Linked DNA regions of Cricetulus griseus. The protein of the gene in region 5 purifies or fractionates together with the protein of the main gene of each other region. This does not show direct contact. Links are inferred from orthologs where the notes say so. Each region holds a gene or a part of one and is shown on either strand. Other genes may lie near its edges.

Region 1 (3,625 bases), on a different chromosome or scaffold from region 5:
ACCCTGAAAGTTTTAGAACTTTTATTCTACAGTGGCGAGAGCCTCTTGAAATATTATTCTGTTTAGAAATATATGAATTCTGTCAAGTCAGTTGTGGCACGAAATCACAAACATAAAAGAGTTTCCGATGTCTGAGAGCTCACTAAATAGAATACATTTAAATACGTTCTTTAATAAATGCAGGCTAACATAGTGCAGGGTTTGTTATAAAGTTTGCTTACAAGGTATATTTAGTGTTACAGCTCTAAACCTGACCAGAGTAGACTGCTGCAACTTGAGCGAGGTCAGAGGAATTGTGGAAATAGGAACCAAATTGTGGATGGAAATGTCTTTCATTGCTTTCTGAAACTGGAGCACAAGATGAGTTCTAGCATTCTGTAGTACAGAAGGACAAGCATACTTCAGAGTAATATATTACATACTTTACAAGGACTAAGAGGGGTGCTTGAAGGCTTATATAACAAATGCAAATGGACTGATCTAATTAATGCACATATATATTCAAATATATTGTACTGTATATATTAATATATTGAAAGAAAAATAATGTTTAACAAAGGAAAGAAATCAGAACAGCAAAAACAAAGTAAAATTTGGACATGGGTTTAGGGTCTTTCCAAAGACAGGAAGGAAATAGGGTTTTGCAGCATGAAATAATAATTATGTGTGTAACAGGCTGTGAGAAATTGATGCTGGATGCTTTCTCTTCCTGTTCTTTCTTTGGCATTCTAACAGTCATGTTCTTGTTAATGCTTTTTTCTTTTTAAGAGTTCAGCCTGGTCATTGTTATCATCTGTATAATGGCCTTAGAGCAAGTCTTCTGGATGACTACCAACTACCAGAAATTTTGAGAACTCCTTTGGAAGAACTTTGTTTGCAAATAAAGGTATATTAATTGGAAGAATTAACAACCTAAATGGAGGGTGGTATTACAGTTTTCAACATTTTAATAGAAGAAAGTATAGTATGACCCTACAAATAGGGATTATTTTTATGAACTTCATTTTGCTGGCGTGAAGAAACAAACTCCTTGAACTTCCTTCTGATGTATATCGAACAGTTGTCAATGTTAGGATCAGGGGACCTGTCTTTGATTCTCATTTTCTACCTAGAAACTTTGTTCTGCTTCATTGAGCAGATTTTTTAACTTGATGTAAAATTTCTGTATAAAATTCTTAAACCAATGTTGGACATATAATAGTCAATAAATGTTAGCTACTGTTACTTAATTTTTGTGAGTCAGAGGTTTTATGGTAGAGAAGCTCTCTACCACTGAACTAACTGCATTCTCAAAGTGTGGCGTGCCCACCCTCCCCCTCTCCTTTTTTTTTTTTAACACCTTGAGATGGTCTTAATTGGCTCAAGCTGACATTGAATTGTTGATCATGCTACTTCAGCCTGCTGAGTATCTGGTATTATAGTCCTGTCCTGCCTGTCCTGGCTAGCTGTTACTATATCTTCAAATGTTAGATAGTGTGTGTGTGTGTGTGTGTGTGTGTGTGTGTGTGTGTGTGTGTGTTTATATATATATATGCTCAACTAACCCTATTTCTATGGTAATCAGTAATCAACTTGTTGAAACTTTTTTAATCTGATCACTTTTCTCACTAGTTAATTTCCTCTTAGAAAATGTTATATAAGCTTTTGAGTACATGTTTTTACATTTTTTTTGATACATCTTTAACTATTTGTCTTCACAGATTTTAAGGCTAGGTGGAATTGCTTATTTTCTGAGTAGGTTAATGGATCCACCATCAAATGAGGCCGTAATGCTCTCCATAAAACACCTAATGGAACTGGTAATTTTTATTTTTGTATTTGTATTTAGCATGTTACAGTATGTACACTGGCTACTTAGAAGCTTACTCCAGAGTAGAGCACTGTCAGATTTGATGTGATGCTTTTCTTGTGTTTTTAAGATACAAGTCTTGAGTTTTGTTCATTGCAAGATTGATTTAAATTACATAAATCTTGAAAAATTTTTTTAGTGATCTTCATATGTATTGAACTGGGTTGGCTTATTCTACTCTTTCTGATTACCATAATGCTCTCTTGTCAAATTCAGGTATTTTAATGATAGTGTGGACTTTTGATAGAGGCAGTCCTTATGTTTCAAAATATATATGAACAAGTGTCTTGTCTGTGTGATGCTATAACAATTCTTGAACTGTCATTCACCATTATAACTTATTTCCATAAACAAGATTTTCTGGTTTTGTTATTTCATTTTTATGCTCTGAGAAAGTGACTGTAGTTGTAGTCATTCCTCCATGGGGCCATGTTGAGGGGTACAGGACTGGCCATGAATTAATTCCCAGAGTAGTACAGGAGATGAGAAAAGTGTTGAACACTACTGTTTGCAGCTGTATGTGGTAATTTCAATCATGAGTCAACTAGAAATTCATAACCTTAGTGATACTCACATATGTTTTACAACATCTCTCTGTACTGTACTGGACCACATAGAGAAAGAGCATTTTTTTAATCTACAAAATCATGTTGGTTTATGCTGGGTTGGAGGGTGCCAAAGACATGTCACAGGTTTGGGAGCTATCCATGTAGATAATTCTTTAAGAATTCGGATTTTGTAGCACTGATACAGGCTTTTAAATAGTAAACTGCTTAAAATAGCACTGTAAATGATCCAACCATGCCTTTATATTTCCTTGGTGTCCTCAGGATACTTTCCTAGCTGCTCTCATTTGAACCAGATTACCCAGAGAATTGGAAGAGAAGTCATTTTTATGTATGCCCCTTATCTCTTTTTGCATCATAGCACCTAAACTAGACTCTAGGGACTGTGCATTTCACCCACTTTTTGCCTTTTTATAACTGCTTTACCACAGTGATTTTTTTTTTCTGTATTTCTTATATAACATTTCCAAGTTGTGATTAATTTTGTTGGTTTGAATAAGTCACTAGCCTTTGCTGACATAAGGATTTATTTGTTTATTTATTTATTTTGTTGAAGGCATCTAAAACAATGCTTGGGGCATTTGGGACTTAAGAGAATAATAGTGACCTGTATGTTTTATAGCTAGTTACAGTAGCTTTTGATGGAGTGCTTTGCTAGGCCTACTGTAAAAGCAGTTTCTTCCTTTTCAGAGTGCTTTGGATAAACAAGAAGAATTGACACCTCTTGGCGTCCATTTAGCCAGATTACCTGTTGAGCCACATATTGGAAAAATGATTCTGTTTGGAGCTTTATTCTGTTGCTTAGATCCAGTACTCACTATTGCTGCCAGTCTCAGCTTTAAAGATCCCTTTGTCATTCCACTGGTAAGAAAGACAGAAAAGAGGCTGGGAGTTTTAATGCTAAGATTGTTTACTGCTGACATGTATTTTTCATTATAATTTCATCATCTGACATCATCATTATTATGTCAGAAACACTTAAGCTACAACTGTTTTATTTATTTATTTATTTACTTTTAGGGAAAAGAAAAGATTGCAGATGCAAGAAGAAAGGAGTTGGCAAAGGAAACCAGAAGTGATCACCTGACAGTTGTGAATGCATTTGAGGTAAGAAAAAACAACCTTGTTCTGCTTATAAAAGATTATTCAAGAGCATATTTTAAAATACTTATAAGTGACCATATATATATTTACGGAATAAATTGTTGAG
Region 2 (4,417 bases), about 14 Mb from region 5:
TAGTTCTATGGTGCCCAATACCCAGCTCCCCCACACCCTTAGCACTGACCTTTCTGGTATTTCTTGATGGCATTCATCATATGTGCTTTCTCCCGTTGCCTCTTCTGAAGGACCTCAGTCTGCACCTGTGAGACAGACACAAGGTCAGTCATGCATCTCAAAACACGACTCCTGCTGCTACCTGCTGATATACTGGGTGCACCATGGTGCCCCATGGTGTCAAGTGAACCTGCACTCAGGGATTATGGTGGACACACTTCACCAGTAAGACTCACAGGACCAAACACACACACACCGGGCAAGAACCAAATCACACCACAGCAATCAGACCTGACATTCCTGGCCTTGTCCTATTCCATGCAGGTGTTCTTTCTTACCTTCTTTCCATACTTCCTAAGCGCTCGAAGTTGCTTGGCCTTTTCAGATTTCTCCATGGCAGCCTGTTTAGTCTGCAGCTTCTGTCGAATCTAAAACACAGGATGTTGTCAGGTATTATACAGAGTACACTAGACCAGGGCACCAGGATTCCATTAGCTCTGAAAGCCATGGATCTTGTGTACTTTCCTAGTTTTCCACATACAGACAATGCGGCCCCAAAGCTGAGCCCTTTATCCAGGAACCAACTGTCAGTGTGCAGATCTTAAAAGCAGCCCTGCCTCCTCAAGCACGCTTGTTCTCTTATATAAAGCTGCCTGTTTGTCACACAAGACCTGTTTTCTCCCAAGCCCATTTACAGATCAAGGCTAAACTTCAGTGCCCTCTTTAAGGGGTCACTGCACACTGATCCCTTGCCTCTCCCATCAAACACAAACATTTTACTGAAAGCATAAGTAGTCATCAGTGTTACTGTCAGGTTAATCTGGGCTTATCTCCAGGTTAGTTTCTTGGGGTACCACCTAGAATTCTCTAAGATGAAGACTGAAGCCAAGGGAACAATTTAAATACATCCTGGATTCCGAGTCAAGAAGTTTTTTTCCTCCCAAAGTTAAATGAGGATCAAGTCCCCCAACCCTAAATTACACTGTATCTGAGCCATCTATCAACCCCTCACTTTCTAGAAAACAGAGGCCCAGAGAAGAAAAACCTTTCTATAAGCAATAGTATTCTCGTTGGGCCCAGAACTACAAAACTGTTGTGTCTATACACCATGCCACTAACCCTGCCAAGAAGGGAATACAAGCCTTCTTTATCACAGGGACCACACCTCTTCCAGCTCTTCTCTCCGTTTTACCAAGTGACTGGCGTGCCTCTGAAGCAGAGACTCTCCATTAGAAATACTGATTACAGGGGCTAGAGAGATGGGTCAGTGGTTAAGAGCACTGGCTATTCTTCCAGAGGCCCTACATTCAATTCCCAGCCTCTACATGGCAGCTCACAACTGTTTGTAAACCCAATTACAGGATATCTTGACACCCTCACACCACTACACATAAAAAAATAAAGTAAAATAAATTACCAAAAAAAAAAAAAAATACTGATTACAGCCAACATAAATCCTTTTTAAAAACCACCAGCTGAATACTTCAGGGTGAAGCCCTGGCTTTCCAGAGAAAAAACTTGCCTGTCTCTTACCTTTTGCATCTGCTGGTCAGACTTGGCCATTTCTGCAAAATAATCTGTGGGTCGCTTGGTGGGGACTTGGAGCTGATGGAGCCGGGGTAATACTGCAAGCACTGCAGCCTGGGCCTGGCGGTAGCTGAAATTTCAGGACGGAGTTAAATGAGGGGTGAAGAAAGGCCTTCATTTCTTACTGCCTCTCAGGACTTAACTAGACTCAGGACTATCAATATCCCTCTGGCACTAGCAAGACAAAACAAAAACTGCAATAAAACTCCACTAATTTCATATAACAGAAATCTCATTTTACACTTATTTTTAAGGGGAAAATACTTCTAAGAATAAATCAACAGCTTAAAACAATAAGCTTATTAAAGGTACCATTAACATACAAAGTATGACCTCTTTCCCAATCATTACAAAGTCCCCTCGAAGCCTTCCCTAGGCAGTCTGCTCTGACTGGATGCACCCACACAAACTTTAAATAGCCCTTAGGCAGGGCACAGGTTAAATGATGACCAAGGAGCTATTCTTTCAAGCAGGAGGCACCCAAGGTTCGCGCTAACTCCTCGGTGTCTCTGAGGGGGGCAGGCATACTATACTCCCCTTCCCATGATTCTCTATCACAGGACTCATAACAAAACATACAAACTCATTTCCCTCTGGAAGTCGTCTTCTGGATTAACACCTTTCTTCTGGTCCTTGTTCTGGGGGGTTGGCTGAGTTTCACTGACTTCTGGCACTGGACCCAGGGTCACATCGAGCCTTTCAACCCACTCCAGATCCCGTCTGAATTCAGCCAAACACTGTTTCAGGCCATTCTAGGTAAGTCAGACACGGTGCTCATGAGAACCCAGAGTTTATCTCTCTCAAGCCCAAAGTGCTAAGCTCAAATACCAGTACAGCTCAAGGCACAGGGGGCATTTTTCTCGCAACAGTAGGTCTCCCAAGTAGCAGGGCGCCTATGCACACCCCATTCCAAGGACCCCAACCCGCGAGCGAGCTCACCACGTCATTCACCGCCTTCTTCGGCCTCTCTAGCACAACGTTGAGGCCTGGCTTCAGGAGTCCTCGGGAAAATGCATCCTGCAACTACAGACCCGGGGGCGTCAGTACCAGAGAGCTGGAGTTCCCGTTCCACGCCCTGTCCCGCGAGCCCCGCAGCCGCCTACCTCCCGGTCTGAGACCAGGGACTCTTCCGACTCCGCGTCCGAGTCTGAGAGCGGAGGGGTGTCCATCTCGCGATCTCCCGCCCCGCGGGGCGCGACAGCCACTCCACGTGCCCTGAAGACGAACCCGCGCCGGCAGCTTCTCCACAAGCCTCTGGCTTTTCGATCCGGACTTCCGCTTCCGGGTGCAGAGCCGCACTTCCGGTTTCTCGTTGCTATAGGAACCGCTCCGGTGTTTGGGCGTGCTTAGGTTGCTCGGGATATTTAGGAGGAGTACCTGCGGATCCCCGCTTGGTTTCGTAACCCAGGGTCGTGAAGCAAGAGGTGAGAGGTTTCTCTGAGGTCCTCTGAAGAGCCTGGGGTCGTTGAGGGAACAAGAGAGAAAGGCAAAGCGCGGAAGGAGCTGTGGGCGGGGGGAGGGGGGACAAGAGGAGGAGCCTGGGGGAGGGGCGACGAGGAGAGGAGTCTGGGGGGGGGGCAATGAAGGGGTGAGTTGTGGTTAGGGAGGGGCGGGCCAAAAGCGGATCCAGGACTGGGCGGGGCGGGGCCATGGGCGGGGCGGGGCCATGGGCGGGGGCGGGAGATGCAGTTCTTTCTCACCAGCCGCTGCTTTATCTTCAGCAGCACTTTCTGACAGGTACCATGTCCACCGTCGTAGCTCAGGCGCTGCATGTTTTTGGTCTTCGGTCGTACGTGGCCAACAATGTCTTCTTCTTCGATGAACAGATCATTATATTTCCTTCAGGAAATCACTGTGTGAAGTACAATGTGGATCAGAAATGGCAAAAATTCATTCCAGGTAAAAAGAAAGGGGGAAAAAAAAAACCTTCCCATCCTGTCACATATGTGAAAGGCTGTGCTACACAGAACCATGCAGTCTCAACGATTAGGAAGGTCTTTCTTGACAACTGGATATACATGTAGTTTTATAAATGTCAATTTGCACTGCTTAATTCTTAATTATAGACTAACCTGACACATGTAGTCAAAATGACTTGCATATTAACACTAATTTTAAATAATTTTAAAAAGTATTTTTTCACTGTGACTTCATAAAAGAGTTACTTTAAACAGTGTTTTTCTTGTATTGTCCTGCAGTGAGTTTGTCCTCACCAGAACCTTTTTTTTTTTTTTTTTTTTTTTTTTTGAGTAACAGTTTCAAGAATCCTTGTATGGTGGAGACACTGACAATTTTAACCCAAGTCACAAATAATCTTCCTTAAAACCTGACCCCTGTTTTTGTTTACATTAGTCCAGCCAATGATATTCATGACGCTTCCCCTACTTTTTTATCCCTTCACATGCAAATATAAAAGACCACAATACATATATGTAATCATTAATGAATTATTACTGTTAGTATTCAAGCATCTATCTGTACTGGCCTGTTCTTGGGGGCTCTGACAGGGTATGCCCTCAGTTGCAACCACTAAGAGCACCAACTGTACACATTCACTGTGTTCCCTTTTAAAAGGGCCCTGCCCACCTCCCATTCTCCTCTCTTTCTTTTCTCTCCCTCTCTCTGTCTGCCCTCCCACCCCCCATCTCTTTCCTCTCCCTCCCACTGCTCCTGTCCCTGGAGGCAGGTCTCCCCCCTCTACTTACCCTTTTTTATGATCCCTTTCCCTAATAAAAAAAAATCCCTCCACTTGGACTCTGTCGCATGGCATCTTTCTCTTGAGCGCCGCTTT
Region 3 (4,114 bases), on a different chromosome or scaffold from region 5:
GGAGAAAGAAGGGAACACGCGCGCGCACGCTGCCCCCCGTTCAGGGGAGTGGTGCAAAAATAAATCCCCAAAGCAACCCGGGAGATCAGGGCACCGGGAAAGCCAGAGCCCGGTAGGCGCAGCGCAGCCGGGGCCACCCGCGTCCCCGCTCGGCGACTCGTTTGCAGGAGGATGACGCAGGCGGGAGCCGCGGGCGGCGCTGGCCACGCGGCTCCTGAAGTGGCCGCGCGGGTCCCTCGCCGGCTCCTCTGATTCCAGCACGCCCGGGAGGGAGGCTCGGTCCCCGAGGCTCCGGGATTGCAGGGGGGACCCGAGCGAGGGTGAAATGGCCCGATGACAAAGGAAATGTGATCCCCCTTCGCTGCCCAGGTTTCGGAGAGGACGGCCGTGAGGAGGAGGGGCGCGCGGCGCGCGCGGAACGCGGATAGCATTGCACGACGGCCCCGCGCGGAGCGGGCGGCGGGTACATCCAATATCTTCCCGCCGATGAATAATTCAGGGCGGCCCGCGGGGACCTGCGGCCCCGCGCCGCGGAGCGCCTGAGGCCGGAGCAGGGTCGGAGCGCGCGCTAGAGAGAGCGAGGAGGAGGCCCGGGGACACGCGGGCGCCGGGAGGGCCGCGTGGGGCGCGCGTGCGTGTGAGCGCACGGAGACCGCGGCCCGGCCGGGCTGCGCAGAGGCGCGCAGTGCGTGGAGCGCGCGTGCGTACTTGGCACGCGTGCTTCCGCGGCGGGCGGGCGGGCGGGGGCCCCGCACGAGGTGCAGCTGCGCGCTCGAGCCGACCGCGCGCGGGGGAGGCTGCGCCTCGGCCGCCACGCAGGAGCTCCTGCCGCCGCGTCATGCGGCGGGGCGGGCGGCGTCGCGCGCGGGACTCGAGCTGCTGCGACTTCGGGGCGTTTTCCCCTCCCTCCTGGAGACTCAATCCGTTTAGCCCGGGGCAAAGGGAAAAAAAAAAAAAACAACACGCGCAAGACTCCTCAGGACCTTTTTTTTTTTTTTTTTTTTTTTTTTGCGCTGAGGGGACTGGATTCCACGGCGGACTTTGGGACTTGGGCGGGCGCTCGCTTGCTGCCGAGTGGCGGTGCATGCCTGCCGTGCCGAGGTGGCCCGGGGGTCGCCTCCACCGCGCCCTCGATGCGCTCTGCTGAGTGAGCCGCGCGCCCTCCTCCTCGCCGCACGCCCTCTTCCCTCCTGCAAATGGCTTCGTTCCCCGAGACCGACTTCCAGATCTGCCTGCTGTGCAAGGAGATGTGCGGCTCGCCCGCGCCGCTCTCCTCCAGTTCGTCCGCCTCGTCGTCGTCGTCGCAGACGTCCACGTCGTCCGCGGGAGGCGGCGGTCCCGGGGCGGCGGCGCGGCGCCTGCACGTCCTGCCCTGCCTGCACGCCTTCTGCCGGCCGTGCCTCGAGGCGCACCGGCTGCCCGCTCCCGGCGGCGCCGGCCCCACCGAGGCGCTCAAGCTGCGCTGTCCCGTGTGCGACCAGAAGGTGGTCCTGGCCGAGGCGGCGGGCATGGACGCGCTGCCGTCGTCCGCCTTCCTGCTCAGCAACCTGCTGGACGCCGTGGTGGCTACCGCCGACGAGCCGCCGCCCAAGAACGGGCGCGCGGGCGGCGGCCCCGGGGGCGCGGGCGGCCACAGCAACCACCGGCACCACGCACACCACCCGCCCCAGCGCGCCGCCGCTCCGGCCCCGCAGCCGCCGCCCGGCCCGGCCGCCAACCCCGCCGCGCTTCTGCTGCGCCGGCAGCACGGCTGCAGCTCGTGCGACGAGGGCAACGCCGCCTCGTCGCGCTGCCTCGACTGCCAGGAACACCTGTGCGACAACTGTGTCCGCGCGCACCAGCGCGTGCGTCTCACGAAGGACCATTACATCGAGCGCGGCCCGCCGGGGCCCGCGGCCGCCTCCGCGGCGCAGCAGCTGGGGCTCGGGCCGCCCTTCGCCGGCGCGCCCTTCTCCATCCTTTCGGTGTTCCCAGAGCGGCTCGGCTTCTGCCAGCACCACGACGAAGAGGTGAGTGCGCGTGGGACGCGGGCGAGCGGAGCGGACCCTTTGGCAGACTTGTATCGTCCCCCTACCTCCCTTCCTCCCTCCCTCCCGACGTCCCTCGGAGAAAGAACCACGTCCCTGCGACATCTTCCTTCCCTGGGCATGTCCGAGGAGTCCCAAAACATTAGATTCCTTGCCTTTTTGTTTCTCATTTTTTTTGGGGGGGGGTTAGGGCTGATCGAACCCAGGGCTTTTTGCTGGGCAAGTCTACCCATGGAATTGGACTCCAAGCCCCTGGATTTCACTTTTATTTTCTTACTTAATTTTTGCATTTATTTGCGCTCGTGTGTGGAAGTCAGAGGATAACTTTCAGGAATCGGGTCTCTTTTCCCCTTATCTTGTGGGACCCGGGGATCGAAGTCGGGTCTTTCGGGTTTTGAGGCAAGTGCCTCTTGAGCAGTAAGCCATCTCGCCAGCCCAGCTTCATTAATATATATATTTTCTCCTGTGTGATAAAATGTAGTTGGTGTGTCCAGTTGAGCACGAGTTTGGAGGAGATAAATATGTTTGTGGAGTCGTGGATTCCTTTTGTATGAGTCCGCCAGAGGCCGCCCAACGTGCTGAGAGGGCTCTCCGGGGTGGGGAGGGATGGTTGAGGTGTGGACTTGCTTCTCACGTGTGTGTGCTGGGCCGGAGGACTTGGGTTAGGTTGGCATTTGCACGGGTTGGCGTTCACCGGAGTGTCTGTCTGGTTGTTGGTTAAAAAGCTTGTGGCTTTTTTTTTAGAACTAAGGAACCCCGGTGTTGAGTCCCTAAGTTTGCTTCTACAGTTGTTTTTCATGCTATGCGTAAAGCCTGCTCTGGTTGGTGAGTACCCACGTGCAATGACCATGTGGCCTCGTGGGGGCCCCTGAGAGAGCTGGAAGCCAGATTGGGACCACCGCAGTTGGGTCTCTTGGCGCTTTAACCATGCTTGGCCCCGTCTTCCATCTCGCGGGGCCCTGGGCGCTACCCTGCCCATCCACAGGTACTCACTCCACTTGGGCAGCGACCCCGCAGCTCGAACCTGGGGGTGTGCGGAAGCTGAGGGCTGTGCTGCTGCCCTCCGACCTGATTATCCCTTTGGACTCTTGATTTTTATTTCCAACTTGGATACCGGACCATCACCACCTATTAATACTAATATTATGCTATTCACTGGAAGCTCGTGGAGGCTTGGACCACCCTTGATGGGTTGGGTAGTCTCGTCTAGCTCTACCTGTACCCATGTGCGATGGCAGTGCTTGGTATTCCTGTCTCTGGGAGGAGGGCAGAGGACAAACAAGGCTTTCGAAATCCCGCATGATTTAGAGTGGGATTGTCCACACCGCCGCAGCGGGGTCCACTTTTTAACATGTTATTTGGGGAGGAGCCTTAAGTTGGAAAAATTGAAATTCTAATGCGAGGAAGTTACCTTTTTAAAAGGATTCTTCTGACGTGAAGTCGGTGGCTCACTCCCGTTTTCTCACACTCATGGTTTGATGTTTGTTTCTAGTATATTGTTTAGAAAATCCCTGAGCCAATTCACTGGCAGATTGGCATCAAATTCGAGGACGAGGCAGGGAAGAAAGCCCCCTGAATCCACGTTTGTTTTCCTCCATGGAGAGAAAGAGTTGAAATATCTTACTTTTCTTATTAATTTTTAGTCAAATATTCCATTTGGGCTAAGGCTGTAGGCATTTGGGGCTGGCTGATTGATAGGTTAACTGTAGCTCCCTGTGTGTTTATTTTGAGATAGGGTCTTTTTCTTTAGCCTAGGCTGGCCTGGAACTGTGTCACCTAGGTTGGTCTCCCTCCTGACTCAGCTTCCCAAATACTGATACTACAGATTTGAGTGAGTCACCGTGACTGGTTTCACTTAAAAAAAAAAACAAAAAACAAACAACAAAAAAAACGTTTTTGAGTAAGCTGACCAAATAATGAGTTGCTTGATGGCGTCTTCATAGGTGTGTTTTCCTAGCTGCCTTAATTGCCAGTTCTCTTGCTTAGATTTTTTTTTTCCTGCTTTTGTGTCATAAATACCTAGCTTGTGGTCTAATCTCGGGCCCCACGGTTTTTTGTTTTTTGACACAGGGTTTCTCTGTAGCCCT
Region 4 (3,625 bases), on a different chromosome or scaffold from region 5:
TCTAAAAGGTAAGAGACATGGGATAAGTCTTCAAACCCACTTCTAGACTAGACTTAAGTGAAAAGGGTACCAATACACACAGCATTTGCCATGGAGTCAAGTGTGCAATATCCAGGAATACCAGATTTTCCAGACCAAGATACAAGTGAATGACTATGAAAGCATACCAGAGGGGTTTTGACAACAAAAAGAAAACCAGTTAGCTCAAGTTCTGAAGCTGTCTCTCAGTTTTCTGACCATCTGGGGTTTTCAGTGTCTTCTTTCCTCTTAGAAAAATTACTAGAAACTCACCATTTTTCCTCTTTTCCTTGGACTTGTTCTTTAGTTTCTTCTTGGCAACAGTCACGTTGATCTTGCAACCTTCAAAAGTAGTGATCTCCTTGAGCGCCCTCTGAACATCTTCCAGCATGGAGAAAGTGACGTAGCCAAAGCCTCGGCATGCTTTGCTCCCTAGAACAAGGCAAGAAGGATGGAAATGAGAGCAAAGGCCTGTGAGCAATCAATCAAAGACACAAGTCTCAAAAGGAAAAGAAACAAGGCTGGGATCCTTCCCCACTTTACTCGGGACTATAAGGCTTCCTTTCTCTTCCAATTTAATATCTTACTGCCTCTTCTTATTCTGGTCTTTTTTTTTTTTAGTTTTAAAAGATTTTATTATTTATTTATTATGTATACAGTCTTCTGCCTGCATGCCAGCAGAAGGCACCAGATCTTATCCAAGGTGGTTGTGAGCCACCATGTGGTTGCTGGGAATTGAACTCAGGACCTCTGGAAGAACAGTCAGTGCTCTTAACCATTGAGCCATCTCTCCAGCCCCAGCCTTGATAATCTTAAGAATATGGGGGCCCATGATATACATTAGGCCTTGAAGAATTCAATTTTAAACTATGAAAGATTACCAAATACATATGGTAGATTTGAAAAATCAGATTATAATAATGCAATCTTAGAAGATAATAGCAATAAATGAGTAAGGTCCTATAAAACCATTATGTCATTAAGACCTTAGCATTTCAGTATCTAATTAAATACTTCCAAAGAAGGTATAAACTCCTGGCCTCATTTTTAGTTTCAGGACACTCCAAGCTAGGTAACATGAATACCACCCCTTCTTTCCAAAGAGTAATTTGAGAAGTGAATGTCAAAACTAAGCTAAGGGGCTGGAGAGAAGGCTCAGTGGTTAAGAGGACTGACTGCTCTTCCAAAGACTGGTGTTCAATTCCGGGTACCCACATGGTGGCTCACAACCATCTGTAACTCTAGTCCCAGGGGATGCAACAACCTCCACCGGCACCAGGACTCCAGGCATACACATGATGCAAAGGCACACATACAGGCAAAACACCCAGGCACATAAAATTAAGAAATAATTTTAGGGGCTGGGAAGAGATGGCTCAGTGGTTAAGAGCACTGACTGCTCTTCCAGAGGTCCTGAGTTCAAGTCCCAGCCACGACAAGGTGGCTCACAACCATCTATAAAGAGCTATGGTGCCCTCTTCTGGCCTGCAGGCATACATACAAGCAGAACACTATACAGAGTAAATAAATCTTAAAAAAAAAAAAAAGAAAAAGAAAAAGAATGTTAAAAAAAGAACTATGTTAATTCCTCCTTGCCAACCTCATGGTCTTTCTTTCTTTTTTTTTTTTTCTTTTTTTGGTTTTTTAAGACAGGGTTTCTCTTTGTCACAGCCCTGGCTGTCCTGGAACTCACTTTGTAGACCAGGCTTAGCCTCCAACTCATTGATAGCCACCTGCCTCTGTCTCCTGAGTGCTGGGATTAAAGGCCACCACTGCCCTGCCTCATGGTCTTTCATGAGATGCCACACAGAAGAGTATCAGGACCAAAAAGATGTATAATTACTCATCATGGCCTTTTTGGGAGGAGGGTGTTAATAGTAAAATGGTAATTAATTTCTTGCACAAGAAAAAGGGGGGGGCAAAAACCAACCAAACAAACAAAAAAACCAATGTCGATGTCTGCCCATGACTTGCATAAGAAACAACTCTGTGTTCTGTTTTATCTCCTCCAGAGCACATACGATATAACACAGGACAATAATCTATATAAAGTGGCTGCACAGCTGGCATGGGGCACCGGGACAGCAAACTGTGACATGGAAATTGATTTCTTTTCTCTTGGAACTTCTCTCACAAAAGCCTATAACTCACAAAATAAGAACAAAAAAAAAAAACAAAACAAGACCCTCCTCTCAATCAGTACAACCAAAAACAAAGCGACTCAAATGTGAAGTTCAGACCAGTGGTGGGGGCGCACACCTTTAATCCCAGCACTCGGGAGGCAGAGGCAGGCAGATCTTTATGAGTTCTAGGCCAGCTTGGTCTATACAGCAAATTCCAGGACAGCCAGGGCTACACAGAGAAACCCTATCTCGAAAAACAAACAAAATACAAAGGGGGGGGGGGGGGATTAATGTACCAAGAGGTATATACAATAATTATGTCTCCACAAACAACTGTCACACACATTCAGAATCTTCACAATCGTAAGAATGGTCACGCCAGCACCATTAGGAAAAACGCCACCTCACCTCCATGCCCACCCCTCTAACCCCACTGGAGTGCCACACTTGTTTCCAGTACACCTCACTTGTCCCTACAGGGAAGTCCATACTTTTTCTTAAACGGGGCATGAGAGATTGTTAAGAATTTAGACCAAGTACACCAGGCTTAAGGTAAGGTCCACAAAACTACTATTACATGAAGATGGACTCAGCACTTTTCTAAGGCTTTGGTAACTTCTCAAATTCAACATGCTAGGCAATGGTGGATAAGGGTGGTCTTTGGCACCACTTGTAAAACGGTATTAATGTCCATCACACTTCCAGCGGCAATACCGTCCCCAGCTGTGGTGGTGGGTTATGGGTGAAGCAGAATCTTGAATGCACCTGAACTCTGTCTCCCTGAAACTTGGCAATGGCAGCAGGAAAAAGGAAGTCCATGTTTCTTTCTTATTGTTTTTGTTTTTTTGAGACAGGGTCTTATATAACCCAAGTTGGCCTCGACTTCCTGATCCTCCTGCCTCTACATACCAGGTGCTGGGATTATACCACATACCACCACTCCTGGCTCAACAACAACATAAAAAATAACATTTATTTATTTGTGTTCAAAGGGAAGGGAACAACTTGGCACGAATTGGTTCTTTCTGATTCTGATAGGCTTGGTGGAAAGTGCTTTTAACTTTCTAAGACATCCTGCCAAGCCTCCCCCAACAGGAATGTTTCTTTCCCTCCTTTATGTTTATTTCATGTACACTGGTGGTTTTGACTGCATGTATGTCTGGAACTGGAGTGACAGACAGTTGTGAGCCGCCAGGTGGGTGCAGGGATTTAACTCGGGTCCTCTGGAAGAGCAGCCATCTCTACAGGGTTTCTCTGTGGCTTTGGAGGCTGTCCTGGAACTCACAGAATAGACAGCTTTGGAGGCTGTCCTCTTGTAGACCAGGCTGGCCTCGAACTCACAGAGATCCACCTGCCTCTGCCTCCCTAGTGCTGGGACTAAAGGCATGCGCCACCAACGCCAGGCCTGATAAATGTTTCTTAAACTGCAGATTACCCAGCAGTGACTGACCAGAATTTAAAAAAATAAATAAAAGTACATTCAT
Region 5 (4,376 bases):
TCATGAGCTGTGGTAACACACCAACTACAGTGTGGGGAGAGTGGTGGTTAGGGAGGCAACTTCTTCAAATATGGGTGCCAATGGGCCTTTAATCCCAAATCCAGGCAGAGTTAGGCAGATCTCCAGTTAGAGGCGCCAGTCTGGTCTACAGAGCAAACTCCAGGCCAGCCGAAGTTAGACAGTGAGATTCTGTCTCAAAAACAGAAAGAAAACAGGAAACCAACACATAAAAACTTCAATTTTGGGCTGGTGGACATAGATCTCCAAGTTGGTCAGTATTGAGATTGTTGCTTTCCTCCAGTGGCGTCCTATAGCTTTCCAATTGCTATGGATCCTAAGGTTAAGTCTGAGGCACAGCCCTCCAATTTGTTCTACTACCAAGGAACCCCAGAGCAGAGGGTACATGCTCCTTAGTGTCTCCCTCCTTAGCCTTTGGAAGAAGTCAAGAAGGCTCTATACCTACTTTATATCCCAGCCTCCCAAAATTGGGAAGGCTGTCCAGCCCATCTCCAGACCAGGAAAGATTTTAATCTCTGTGATCAGATAAATGGGAGAGTGGGGGAAGCAGGAGAGCCATTCAAAGCTGGTTCCTGTAATAAAGTGACTTAATAGATCCAAAGGGGTCAATTCCCTTCTCACTCACAATTACTTCCTGTGGGTTATCGTTCACATATGTAAATGAGAAGGGGGCACAAAGCCACCATGCAGAAACCAGCAATCTGGTGGTAGTGATGGGGGGGGGGTCAAGAAAGTAGCTAAGGGTACTGCTGCTGCGGGTCTCTTAAACACACGTTCCAGAAGCCAATGACACCAACAGCAAAGAGCTGCTCCCAAAATTCCTTCAAACCAAATCTACCTAGTTGCCCTTGCTCAACCCCCTGACTGGAGGGTAGGGCTCAGTCTTCACATTAGTCTCTAGCCTCCAACCAGTCGATCCAGCATCTCCTTCCCTACCCCTCCCCCTCAAGAACGCCATCCCTGAGGCTCCAACTCTTAATCCCCACATCCTCCTTTCCCCTCCCCCACAGCTCCTAAAGCTAACCTCCCTGAAGTAACCCCTCCCTGCCCGGACCGGGTGTCAAGCTCCAGGGCCAGGGATTAGCAATTTCTTCTTTCCTGGTCCTGCCTTAACCACCAAATCTGGAAGGGGGAGCAGCAGTCACCTCCTTCCCACCGAGGCATGGGGACCATTTGAACGTCCATAGGATGTTGAGAGGGTAAGGCGAATAACAGTGAAACCTGAAGGCTCCCTTCCTTGTTTAGGGTTAGGAATGTTAGGGACAGCAATCAATGGCTGTCTGGGGCCATAAATGCCAAGCTGAGGAGAATAGGGCAAGAGGCCAGCCTCCTTCCACCGCCTGCCCCCTCGACACTGAATTTCACTCCCCACTGCGCAGCCCTTCTTTAACTGAGAACTTGGGATTGCACCGACCCAAGTCTCCTAGACTGGCCCATCCAGGAATGAAGGCCTGGGCTCTTACGGTTTTCCTTCCTGGCAGGACCTGGTGGGCAGCAGAGGTGCCTGCCAGTCCTGAACTGAAATCCAGCCCTCTAGGGGGGCTTTTCAGCCCACACATTGATCCTTCCGGGATCTGCCGAATCTATACTGGCCACGGGACCTGGCTTTTTGGGTGGCCACCGGACTGAGGTCTGCACTCAATCAGGGGGAACAGCCTGACCTCGCAGGTTCATGCCCGTGGGTAGGGTGGCAAATGACCCACCTCTCCTGCCCTGGAAACTACATTCAGAACTCAAGGCGCTAGCGCCCGGCTCAGGCCCTGCATGTGCTTCCCTGATCAGCCTGCTCGCCCTCCCCCACCGGCAAGCACAATACAACCTTAGTTTCTGCCACATGGGGTCACCTCCCTGCCCCCTGCTCCCTTCCCAGGGGAAAGAGGTAATAGACACGTGGTAAGCCGGAGGGGTTCCCGGAAGGGGGCGGGGAGGGGGTGCTGGTAACCAGTGGTGCCTCCTCCTTGCTCCACCGTAGTTACTCAAACTCAAAATTGGGGTGTCCCAGCAGATAGGGACGCACAATGAGGGTCCTTTATCTCCTCCAATCCAACAGGAGCGGCCATCAGCCAAGCACATATATGTAACTCCCAGTTTTCCTTTTTCCTAGCTAAGTTACCGGAATCATTCTCACCTGGTGCACAAAGACGTCCACCGGGGGGTCGAGCGCGACCCCGGCGCGGGCGGTCATGGACAGGAAGCCGAACCCCATGCGCACGTTGAACCACTTACAGATGCCGGCCCCGTGCAGCAGCTGCGGCTCCTCTGCGGCTCGGGCCGCGTCAGTCGGCGCCTCCTCGGGCGCCTTCTCAGCTGCCTTGGCGCAGCCACCTGGAGACAGGGAGGGCCAGGTGATCAGCTGGGGGCCAGGCAATCACAGGGCCCTCTCCGGTACCCGTCTGGGAGACCTCGGTGTTGAGCCCGCGGATAGACACCCAGGAGGAGGCAGCTACCAAACAGCTGGTAAGAAGAAACCTGCCCTGGCTGCCGCCCCAAGCTCACACCGAGGATGCTGATGCCCCGAAAGTTTTGCTTGTCTTCCCACAACATGTTGCCGGTGCACACGCGGCGGGACAGGCCCCTCCTCTTCGCTCCCTCCGCCCCCGCGGGCTTGGCGCACAAGCCACTGGAACACCAGGGTTCCCTGTCCCACAGATGGCCCCAAGGAGCAGGAGGCCGCAGGGACTTGGGGTCCCGCGGGCAAGTCCGTGGGACACTTTCCCACCTCCCTTCTAATTAGCTCGTGGGCGCCCTGCACCCTAAGGTGTGCCCGCTAAATCGTAAGCTCGAACCTGCAAACTGCTGGTTGGACACCGAGCCCATGGTCGTCGGCTGAGCCCGTGGCCCCGGGCCCCAGGTCGGGCGGCTGCTGGCCCCAGAGAAGTCCGGAGGCAAAGGGGTGGTTCGGAGAAGAGGCTGCTACATCTTCCCCCGCACAATAGCGGTGGGAGGGCCCACGGCTTTTCAAAGGCTCCCAAATTCTAAAAGACAATGACCCAACCCCCCGCGGGCAGCCCCCTCCCCTCCCCTCCCCTCCCTCCCTACCCCTCCCTTTCCCTCCGGCTCTGGCTCCCGCCCTCCCCCACCGCTCTGGTCTCTGACACCTCTGGGGTGTCCCTTCCCAGAACCTTGAGATTTGACACCCCCTCCACATGCACACATCTGGAAACGGGGGTCTTTTGCCCTAGAAGTCTTGAGTACCCCCAGAATTTGGGATCCTGCACTTTGAGGACTCAATATGGGTACCCAATGCAGACACAGGTGGGGGACCTGAGAGGGGGGTAGTTTTGTAACCACGTGACTACACACACACACACACACACACACACACGCACAAGCACACACACGCACAAGCACACACACACACACACACACACACACACACACACGCGCGCGCGCGCACACACACACACACACACGCACCCCACCCCCACCCCCCGGGCAGATAATTATACATTCCAGAGAGTTGGGGGAGGGAGGTGTGAGCCTGGTGGCGCTGTCCAATCAGAAACACAAACCACCTGTCAAGGGAGAAATGGATGAGCCCTCCCCCTCCCCCAGCCCCTCAGCGCCCCTCCCCCCTTCCCCCTCAGGCCTCTGAGCTGACCCGGCAGCTTGTCGCTGACCTGCTCTCACCCCCCACTCCCGTGTGCTTAGATAGACCTGGAGTTCTGGACACTAGGAAGTCAGGATAGGGGTGCAGCGAAGCGGCTGGAGACCCCACAGAGCACATCTGTCTTGACCTAGGCGCTGCCCCTCAAACTCCGGCTGCCTCTGACTACAACTAGATGCCTCCATCTCCAAGTCTCAACCTCAGTTTCGCTGGGTTTGTCCCAATCAGAAACAAGCTCCTAGTTGATTCTGTGCTAAGAATCCTTTGCTTCCTTCCAAGCCTGCATCTAAGTTGGTCCCAGGTAGAGAGCTTCCTGGGAGAGCAAGGGGGACCCTGGAAGAGTGCCCTCTGTGATAGCTAGCGGCCTTTCATCCTGTCCGCCGCGTCCCGTCCTGTCCCACCCCTTGCTGGCAGAGGGCAACAGATTTGTGGGTGGAGGCACTTCCTGCAGTACCCGGGACCCTCTGGTTCCCAGACCCTCCTGTTCTCAGTCACCATCCTAAATTGCGCTACCCTCCCGTAGTGTGGCTGGTGGAAGGACTGGATAGGGAGGTTTCTCATTTGAAGAGGTAAACTCCCTACTAGAAGATAAAGAGGGTGGACCGGGGGTGGCCGCTGCCCTGGTCAGAGATGGACAATGGCCCGGGGCTCAGTGCACAGCCCTGGCCCTGCCCCTTCACTTCCGGTGCTCAGTTCAAACTGGACAATGCCAGCTCCGGTCAGTTCCCCTCCCCCATGACTACAACCCATT
Region 6 (3,625 bases), about 380 Mb from region 5:
AAAAGGAATTATGCTCACATCTAATTCCAGCACTAGGAATGAGAAGGGGTGAGAATTCAAGACCAGGATAAGCTCGGAGTGAATTCCAGGTCAGCATTGGCTACAGAATAACACCTTGTTGTCGTTAAAAAAAATAAATTAAAATCTAATTAGATCAGCTTATCACAGTTGTGACAGTGCATGCTTATAATTCCACAATTCCTAGGGTAGCTGAGGAAGGAGAATCATGAGGGCTTCTTGGGTTGCTTAAGTATGTCTCAAAAAAAACAAAACAAATACCATAAAAAAAAAAAAAAAAAAAAGAAGTGTGTTTCCTTGTGGTAAAATGTCAATTGCTGGATGCAGAACAACTGGTGGAATTAGTGCTGGGATAGGTTGAGTGCGTGACTAGTACTCATGAGGCCCTGGGTTTAATCCTCAGCACCACTAAGGAAAAAGGTGGGGTGGGGCCAAGAGAATTAAAAAATCACAAAATAGTCATTTCATAACCATAAAAAAAACCCAAAAAACAAAAAACAAAACAAAAGTTATTCATATGAGAATCAGGGCTGAGGATAACAGCTCAGTAGCACATTTAATTATCTAGCATGTGAGAGGCTCCAGGTTAAAGATATGGGGGGTAGCCTGGTGTGGCAGTGCATGTCTTTAATCCTAGCACTAAGGGGGCAGATCTCTATGAGCTCTAGAAAAGCTAGAGCTAAAGTGAGAACCTGGTTCATAGAATAAAAATTAAAAAAAACTAAAAAAGAAGAAGAGGAAGAAGAGGAGGAAGAGGAACAAGAAGAAGAAGAAGAAGAAGAAGAAGAAGAAGAAGAAGAAGAAGAAGAAGAAGAAGAAGAAGAAGAAGAAGAAGAAAGTACATAATAAAATCTATGCTTCTGAGCCATAAGGTACATACCTTTAATCCCAGCACTCAGGAGGCAGAAGCAGGTGGATCTCTAAGTGCGAGGCCAGCCTGGACTATAGAGTGAGTTCCAGAACAGCCAGGACTACACAGAGAAACCCTGTCTTGAAATCCCTCCTTTCCCCCAATCGATACTTCTAGCCTAGAAGAAGCTTGAAAAACTGGTTCACCAAAGACTGGAAAATTTTTCAATTATTTTCTAATAGCCTTTGTTTTGTTTTGTTTGAGACACGGTCTCATTATGTGGTCCTGGCTGTCCTGGGTCTCTCTATGCAGACAAGGCCAGCCTTAACTTACAGACTCATCAGCCTGCCTCCCTAGTGCTGGGAGATTAATAGTGTGCGTCATAATGCCCAGCTGTAAACAGTCTTTATATAATGAAATTTTAGGATATCTGAGCAACAACAAATCTCTACACAAGTCTCACCTATAAATAAACCATTTTTGAAACATTGGCCTAGAAAGACTTTATGTTTAAGGGAAAACAATATTAAAGACTCTCTGTCTATCTCTTTAGGGTCTTGTTAAAATTACTCTGTTCAAAAGTTTTAAGAACCAACTTCTAAAAATTTAAATTGAGGTATTTTCCTTTCCTTTTACGCAACCAGTTTTTAAAAATTAATTTCATTTAGTGCGTTTGGAAAACTCTGTCTAAATATGGTCCTAGGAAAAGTATTCAATAGACAGTCACTATCTGCTAGGAAAGGATAAATCCAACGAAAAGCTATACTTTTAAGTCTAGATAAGAAATACATTCAAGAATTATAGCAAAATCTATGACTGAAGGAAATAACTGCCTATTCCACAGGCATTTTATATCTACTCATTAAAAACAAAACAAAAAAAAAAAGAGGAGAATATCAATTAAAAAGATCTGTACCGTGAGAAACAGAACTCTAATTGTTTTTTCAGACATTCTTTTAAATCTTCTGTAGAAATTGTTGAACTGCTTTCTCCTAATGGCAGAAAACAAGAGGGAGAAACTGTTAAAAGTTGTCACAGGTGAAACTTACACATTATATTCAGAAGTCACAAAGCAGCCACAAATTAAAATGTACCAGAACTATTTAAATCAAGTCTAATTTCTTCCAACTCATGCTTTTCTCAGCAGCACTTCATCTTGACTGAAGAATTCTCTTATTGATCTGGGGCTGAACTCCAAAATACAGTGATAGAGTATTCATCTAGCATATGTGTGGCAACAGATTTAAGTATTGTCACATACATAGTTCATACTTACGAGGGCTGGTAAATGCTCAGTCAGTAAAGTGCTGTCACACACAAACACAAAGCCAAGTTCGCATCTCACATACACACACACACCACCAAGAAATAACAAAGGACCATTAATACTAAAAGCATTTGACTACTATGTTGTTAAACATTGCCCTAATCTCACCGTAAAAATGAGAGAAGCAGGCTGATCTCTGAGTTTGAGGCCAGCCTGGTCTACAAAGTGAGTTCCCAGACAGTCAGGCTATACAGAGAAACCCTGTTTCAAAAACAAAAAAGTGAAAACCACCCAATTCTTCAATGGCAACATAAAACAAGAAACCCCAAACATAACTAATGGTGATCTAAATTTAAAGATAAGAACTAAAGTGGGATATATGGTGTTTATGTAACTGTTTTACCAACAACAGATCTAGTGTTGAATCACTCTCTTTAACTTCTCTTTTTATACATTTTTTTTCTTCGTCTTCATTCCTCGTTTTTTGCATGTTCCGTTGGTTGGTTTTGATTTTTTGAGAGAGTATATAATGTAGACTAAACAAACTTCAAACTCACTATGTGGGCAAGCATGACCTCGAACTCCTGACTCTTCTGCCTCTACTACCAAGTGCTGAGATTAAACTGCATAGGGTAGATCTTACTATGCAGCCCACACTGTCCTTAACATAAGCCACAGCTGCCCATCTTAATATATCTTCTTTTCTTAAAATTAATCTCTGAAACACAACACTTATTTCAAAATAAATTTCATGCTGACAAAAGTGGCAGAAAAATTGATAAAACTGCAATGATCTCAACTAATCAACCAAGAAACGCACAACTTTTTGCAATTTGGATTTCTCTTAACTACTTTTCCCTGATATCTTTAACAGGACTTCAAAAAGATTCTTCCTCTACAAATTTTATGTCTGGGTACTATTCAACAGCATTTTTAATAATCATCTAATAGTTGCTTATCATAAGCTTCTTTTCAAAAAAGAAAACAAACTGATCAGTGTCATGTTTATTGAGACAATAGAGGGAGAGCTAAGGATACTAAAGTTTCATGCTAGCAATTAAAAAATAAAAGTTACCAGAAACATCGTATATTTGGTAACTCAGATCTTCAGGTCCTAAAATCATTCCATCAGCTGACTCTTCAATGTCTGAAGTATTCCTTGTGGTCTCACAAGTTGGAGAATACATTACTTCATATTCCTTGCACATATCTTCTGAAAGTTCTGTGTTACCTGTTTTGAAGAAAGGATATTGAAAGTAAACAGGAAGTATTTAAACCCACCTGCAGGAACTCAAGTCATGTCCTCTAAAAAAAGGTTTCACAGAACTGTACCAAGTTGGAAAAAATGTCACCATGGCTTAAGTTAAGAGTTATTTCTGAAGGGAGACAAGTTTTGACCATTATGGATAAGTTAGCATTTTATATTTTCAACTGCTCATATAATTCCTTTGCTTCCTTTCCTGGACACATTATCACTACATTATTTCTAT
Region 7 (3,625 bases), about 170 Mb from region 5:
AAAAAGAAAAAAGAAAAACACTTATCAATGAAACTCAATAGAATCCAACAGAAAGATCACACATTTATGATCAAAATATTCATAACATATGCCAAAATAATTTAATGGGAGGGTGATCTTTTTGGAAAATGATAATAGAACAACTGTATAGATAAGAAAAAATTATCTGTATGATAAAAATTAATTCAAAATAGTATCACATACCTCTATGTAAGAGCTCTAATTTTTGGATTATGAAAAAATTTCTCAGTACACAAAAAGTACAAGTCATTAAGTGGAAAAAAAACACTGAAGAAATAGATCCAATCAAAACTAAAAACAGAAGGGCATGGTAACATATGACTTTAACCGTAACACTTGCAGTCTGATCTCTGTGACATCAAGAACAGCCTGGTATGCATAGCAAATTGAAGGTCACCCAGGACTAGAGTGAGAACCTCTCTCAAAGCAAACCAAAAAAAGCTATAAAGAGCTGTTTTTCAGAGGAAGGTTAAAAAAACATACTGTAGGTTAGGGAAGAAATCTGCAAAACATGTTAAAAACAATTGCTCTAAATATATATATATATATATTATATATATATATAATATATATATAAAGTTCTTATAACTTAATTTTAAAAAGATATCCAATAAAGAACAGCATAAAATAAATAAAATCTGAAAACATAATTCACCAAAAACTATACACAGAATGGTATGTGAGCACAAGAAAAGACGTTGAACATCAACAGATACTTGGGAGATGGAAATTAAAACAAGGAACTATCATTATATAATCCACTAGAATGACTAAGTTATAAAATGAAAAGTTTTGTCAATATGGAACAAAACAAATTCTTATAGATTGTTAAAATGGGAACTAGTTCAGCCAATTTGAAAAGCAGTGGGGAGGTTATTTTTAAAGCTAAACAAGCATTTATGATACGACCCACAATCCCACTCCTAGGATCCAACACCAAATACAAAACATCTGCATACAAAGGCTCCATTCACATGTTATAGCACTTTTAGTACAAATACAAAGTAGAATAACCCAAATGTCCACATCAACTGGTAAATGTGTAAACAAACTATGGCATATCCATACAATGGAATACTACTCAGAGAAAAACATAGTTGTTAAATTTAACAGCATAAGTGAATTTCAAAGCAATTCATTAAGTAAAATAAACTAGACACAAAAACAGCACTATTCCACTTATAAGATGTTTAGGAAAAATAAGCAGTGCTTACTGGGGTGCTTACCAAAGGTAATAAAAATGTTCTGTATATGACTATGGTACAATTACAATTATATACACTTGACAAAATTCACCTAAGTTGTTCAGTTTAAGCTGATAATTTTTCTATTACATATATTTCTTTGTGTGTGTGAGGAGGGGTATGTTCACGACACAGTATACTCATATGGAAGTAGGAAGACAACCTGCAGGACTCCATTCTCTACTTCTACCATCTGAGTCCCAAGAGTCAAACTCAGGTCATAGGGATTGGTGGAAAGCACTTTTACTCACTGAGCAATCTCAGTGGCCCATAAACTAGTAAGTTTTTTGAACAAAGTATACCTAACAAAGGGGTTTAAAGTAACCCCCCAATAAAATGTAAGAATAAAAATGTACTCTCTTCTTATTTAGCAAGTGTTCAGCAGACATTGTTCACCAAACACAAGTAACTCTCAATCAAATACTTCCTTATTCATGTACTAGTAACACAAGTAAAAGTAAACACTTTCTATATGTGTGAAACCACTCACATTTTTAAGGCAGTTTTCAATTCTATATCAAAGATTTCTATCTTTCATATTTTTTTAATTTTTATGTGTTTAAAATACTCATTGAGCTATAGAAAACACTTGAAAGAATTATAAAACAAAATTATCAAGGCAGTATTTTTGTTCTAACCAAAAAATTCTACAGAAATAAAGAAGAAAAAAAATGAGCTGCATGGCTATCTGCCATCAATAAAGAATCACATTTAAAATACAATAAGTGGTAGTAATTAGAACACAGGCCACAGCTACAAAAGTACAAGTTTTATAATTGTGTAAAACTACGTACATGAAATGTGCTGTGAACCCAGCTCCTTACTATAGATTGTGGATGCCCTACCTTCCCTGAGGACGGAGGAGAGGGACTAGCACAAGGACTTGGGTAACTGCTGCTGTCTGTAGATTTCACAGATGATTGATCTGATCGGTCATCAGTGCTCCGCTTAGGATGTAAAATTCCTCTGTCTTTGTACTTCTGAGGTGGATGTAAGGCTGGAGATGGAGATTTCATCAGTACTCTTGAGCAAGAAGAAGCACAAGTCAGTTATACATGAGTTTATAATACAAAGGGAATGCTATTTCATAACAAAATCTCAATGACATATAATTTATGGAATACTTTTAAGGGAATTTCATTTTTCTATTTACATTAGTAAGAAAGAAAGAATGAACTAGAATGGGTAGGAGTGTAACTTAGTGATATAAAACTTACCTAGTATGCTTGAAGCCCTGGGTTTGATCCCCAGCACAACAATGAATAAATAAGTAATATGTAAGTAAATACACATATAAGAAACAATAGAGAGGTGGAAGATGGCTCAACTCAGTGAAATGCTTACTGGTTCAAATGTAAAATGCCCCCATATGCTCTTCTGTCTGAATACCGATAACCAATCCTGTTCAGGAAGGTTATGAATACTTGAACAGCTGAGCCTTACTGGAAGAAGTAAACCACTGAAGGCAAGCTCTCGCTACACTTCTTGTTCTTTGAGGAAATATGACCAGCTCACTTCCTGCTCCTACATCCATGCCTGCTATGCCTTTCCTCCCTGTTACCATGTCTTCCCCACCATGATGGACTCTATCCATCATGGAAATGTAAGTCAAAGTAAATCCCTTCTCTCTAAGTTTTCCTTGTCAAGTATTTTATCACTGCAACATAAAAGAAACTAATCTACCATGCAATCACGAGGATCTGATCTCAATACCCAGTACCAATAGAAAAGCTGGTTCTGTAATCTTAGAACTAGGGTGCCAAAGAAAGGCAAATCCCTGGATCTCATTCCCCAGCCAGGCAAATTAGTGAGGTCTAAGTTCATTGAGAGACCTTGTCTCAAAAGTGAAGGTGGAAAGCTACTAAAGAAGACACCTAATATCAATTTCTGACACTGGCACACACATATGTATTTGTGTGTATGCAACACACACATACACACCACACACACACACACACACACACACACACACACACACACACACCCCATATAAGACAACAATAACAAACAACCTCAGACTATAGGATACATTTTAAAAAAGAGGTAAAACCACATTTTGAAAAATCAGAAATAGTATTGCATAAAATAGACTTAAAAATAATAGTATGATGACACGGAAAGAATACTGCACTAGAGAGAGGAGACTGAAATCTATATATTAGAATAACACTAAATGAACATATAACTCTGTGCATGACACTGAACTTTAATTTATTTGTTAAAGTTATCTTAATGAACTCTAAGATTGTTCTAAAATTCTATAAATATCATGAACATATCATTTAAGCTTTTTAATTTTTTAAAAAAATGTACAGTATGTACTCTGTGGTACAATCAGACAGTATATTCTGGTTTCAGTA

Evidence for each region.
Region 1: the proteins of Lin28a (region 5) and Dhx36 purify together in Homo sapiens (affinity purification with mass spectrometry; 3 studies listed by BioGRID and IntAct, with this or other methods). This does not show direct contact. The link is inferred for Cricetulus griseus from reciprocal best matches to the Homo sapiens genes LIN28A and DHX36.
Region 2: the proteins of Lin28a (region 5) and Ebna1bp2 purify together in Homo sapiens (affinity purification with mass spectrometry; 3 studies listed by BioGRID and IntAct, with this or other methods). This does not show direct contact. The link is inferred for Cricetulus griseus from reciprocal best matches to the Homo sapiens genes LIN28A and EBNA1BP2.
Region 3: the proteins of Lin28a (region 5) and Trim71 purify together in Homo sapiens (affinity purification with mass spectrometry; 3 studies listed by BioGRID and IntAct, with this or other methods). This does not show direct contact. The link is inferred for Cricetulus griseus from reciprocal best matches to the Homo sapiens genes LIN28A and TRIM71.
Region 4: the proteins of Lin28a (region 5) and Rbm28 purify together in Homo sapiens (affinity purification with mass spectrometry; 3 studies listed by BioGRID and IntAct, with this or other methods). This does not show direct contact. The link is inferred for Cricetulus griseus from reciprocal best matches to the Homo sapiens genes LIN28A and RBM28.
Region 6: the proteins of Lin28a (region 5) and Larp4 purify together in Homo sapiens (affinity purification with mass spectrometry; 3 studies listed by BioGRID and IntAct, with this or other methods). This does not show direct contact. The link is inferred for Cricetulus griseus from reciprocal best matches to the Homo sapiens genes LIN28A and LARP4.
Region 7: the proteins of Lin28a (region 5) and Ythdc2 purify together in Homo sapiens (co-immunoprecipitation; 3 studies listed by BioGRID and IntAct, with this or other methods). This does not show direct contact. The link is inferred for Cricetulus griseus from reciprocal best matches to the Homo sapiens genes LIN28A and YTHDC2.

What each region holds. Positions count from the first base shown.
Region 1 is NW_023276806.1:89,642,377-89,646,001, forward strand, and holds part of Dhx36 (ATP-dependent DNA/RNA helicase DHX36), read left to right. Parts: intron 1-768; coding exon 769-886; intron 887-1,700; coding exon 1,701-1,799; intron 1,800-3,105; coding exon 3,106-3,279; intron 3,280-3,435; coding exon 3,436-3,522; intron 3,523-3,625.
Region 2 is NC_048595.1:33,706,500-33,710,916, forward strand, and holds the start of Ebna1bp2 (probable rRNA-processing protein EBP2), read right to left. Parts: upstream 2,867-4,417; 5' UTR 2,796-2,866; coding exon 2,730-2,795; intron 2,650-2,729; coding exon 2,566-2,649; intron 2,379-2,565; coding exon 2,206-2,378; intron 1,697-2,205; coding exon 1,573-1,696; intron 468-1,572; coding exon 378-467; intron 126-377; coding exon 50-125; intron 1-49. Other genes in the region: Cfap57 (cilia- and flagella-associated protein 57), read left to right, coding at 3,369-3,525. UniProt on the Homo sapiens protein: Required for the processing of the 27S pre-rRNA.
Region 3 is NC_048597.1:221,619,527-221,623,640, reverse strand, and holds the start of Trim71 (E3 ubiquitin-protein ligase TRIM71), read left to right. Parts: upstream 1-1,196; coding exon 1,197-2,009; intron 2,010-4,114.
Region 4 is NW_023276806.1:198,657,966-198,661,590, reverse strand, and holds part of Rbm28 (RNA-binding protein 28), read right to left. Parts: intron 451-3,625; coding exon 292-450; intron 2-291; coding exon 1-1. UniProt on the Homo sapiens protein: Nucleolar component of the spliceosomal ribonucleoprotein complexes.
Region 5 is NC_048595.1:19,275,970-19,280,345, reverse strand, and holds the start of Lin28a (protein lin-28 homolog A), read right to left. Parts: upstream 2,836-4,376; coding exon 2,805-2,835; intron 2,344-2,804; coding exon 2,147-2,343; intron 1-2,146. UniProt on the Homo sapiens protein: RNA-binding protein that inhibits processing of pre-let-7 miRNAs and regulates translation of mRNAs that control developmental timing, pluripotency and metabolism.
Region 6 is NC_048595.1:396,447,093-396,450,717, reverse strand, and holds part of Larp4 (la-related protein 4), read right to left. Parts: intron 3,367-3,625; coding exon 3,211-3,366; intron 1,861-3,210; coding exon 1,785-1,860; intron 1-1,784. UniProt on the Homo sapiens protein: RNA binding protein that binds to the poly-A tract of mRNA molecules. Associates with the 40S ribosomal subunit and with polysomes. Plays a role in the regulation of mRNA translation.
Region 7 is NC_048595.1:192,996,807-193,000,431, forward strand, and holds part of Ythdc2 (3'-5' RNA helicase YTHDC2), read right to left. Parts: intron 2,289-3,625; coding exon 2,111-2,288; intron 1-2,110. UniProt on the Homo sapiens protein: 3'-5' RNA helicase that plays a key role in the male and female germline by promoting transition from mitotic to meiotic divisions in stem cells.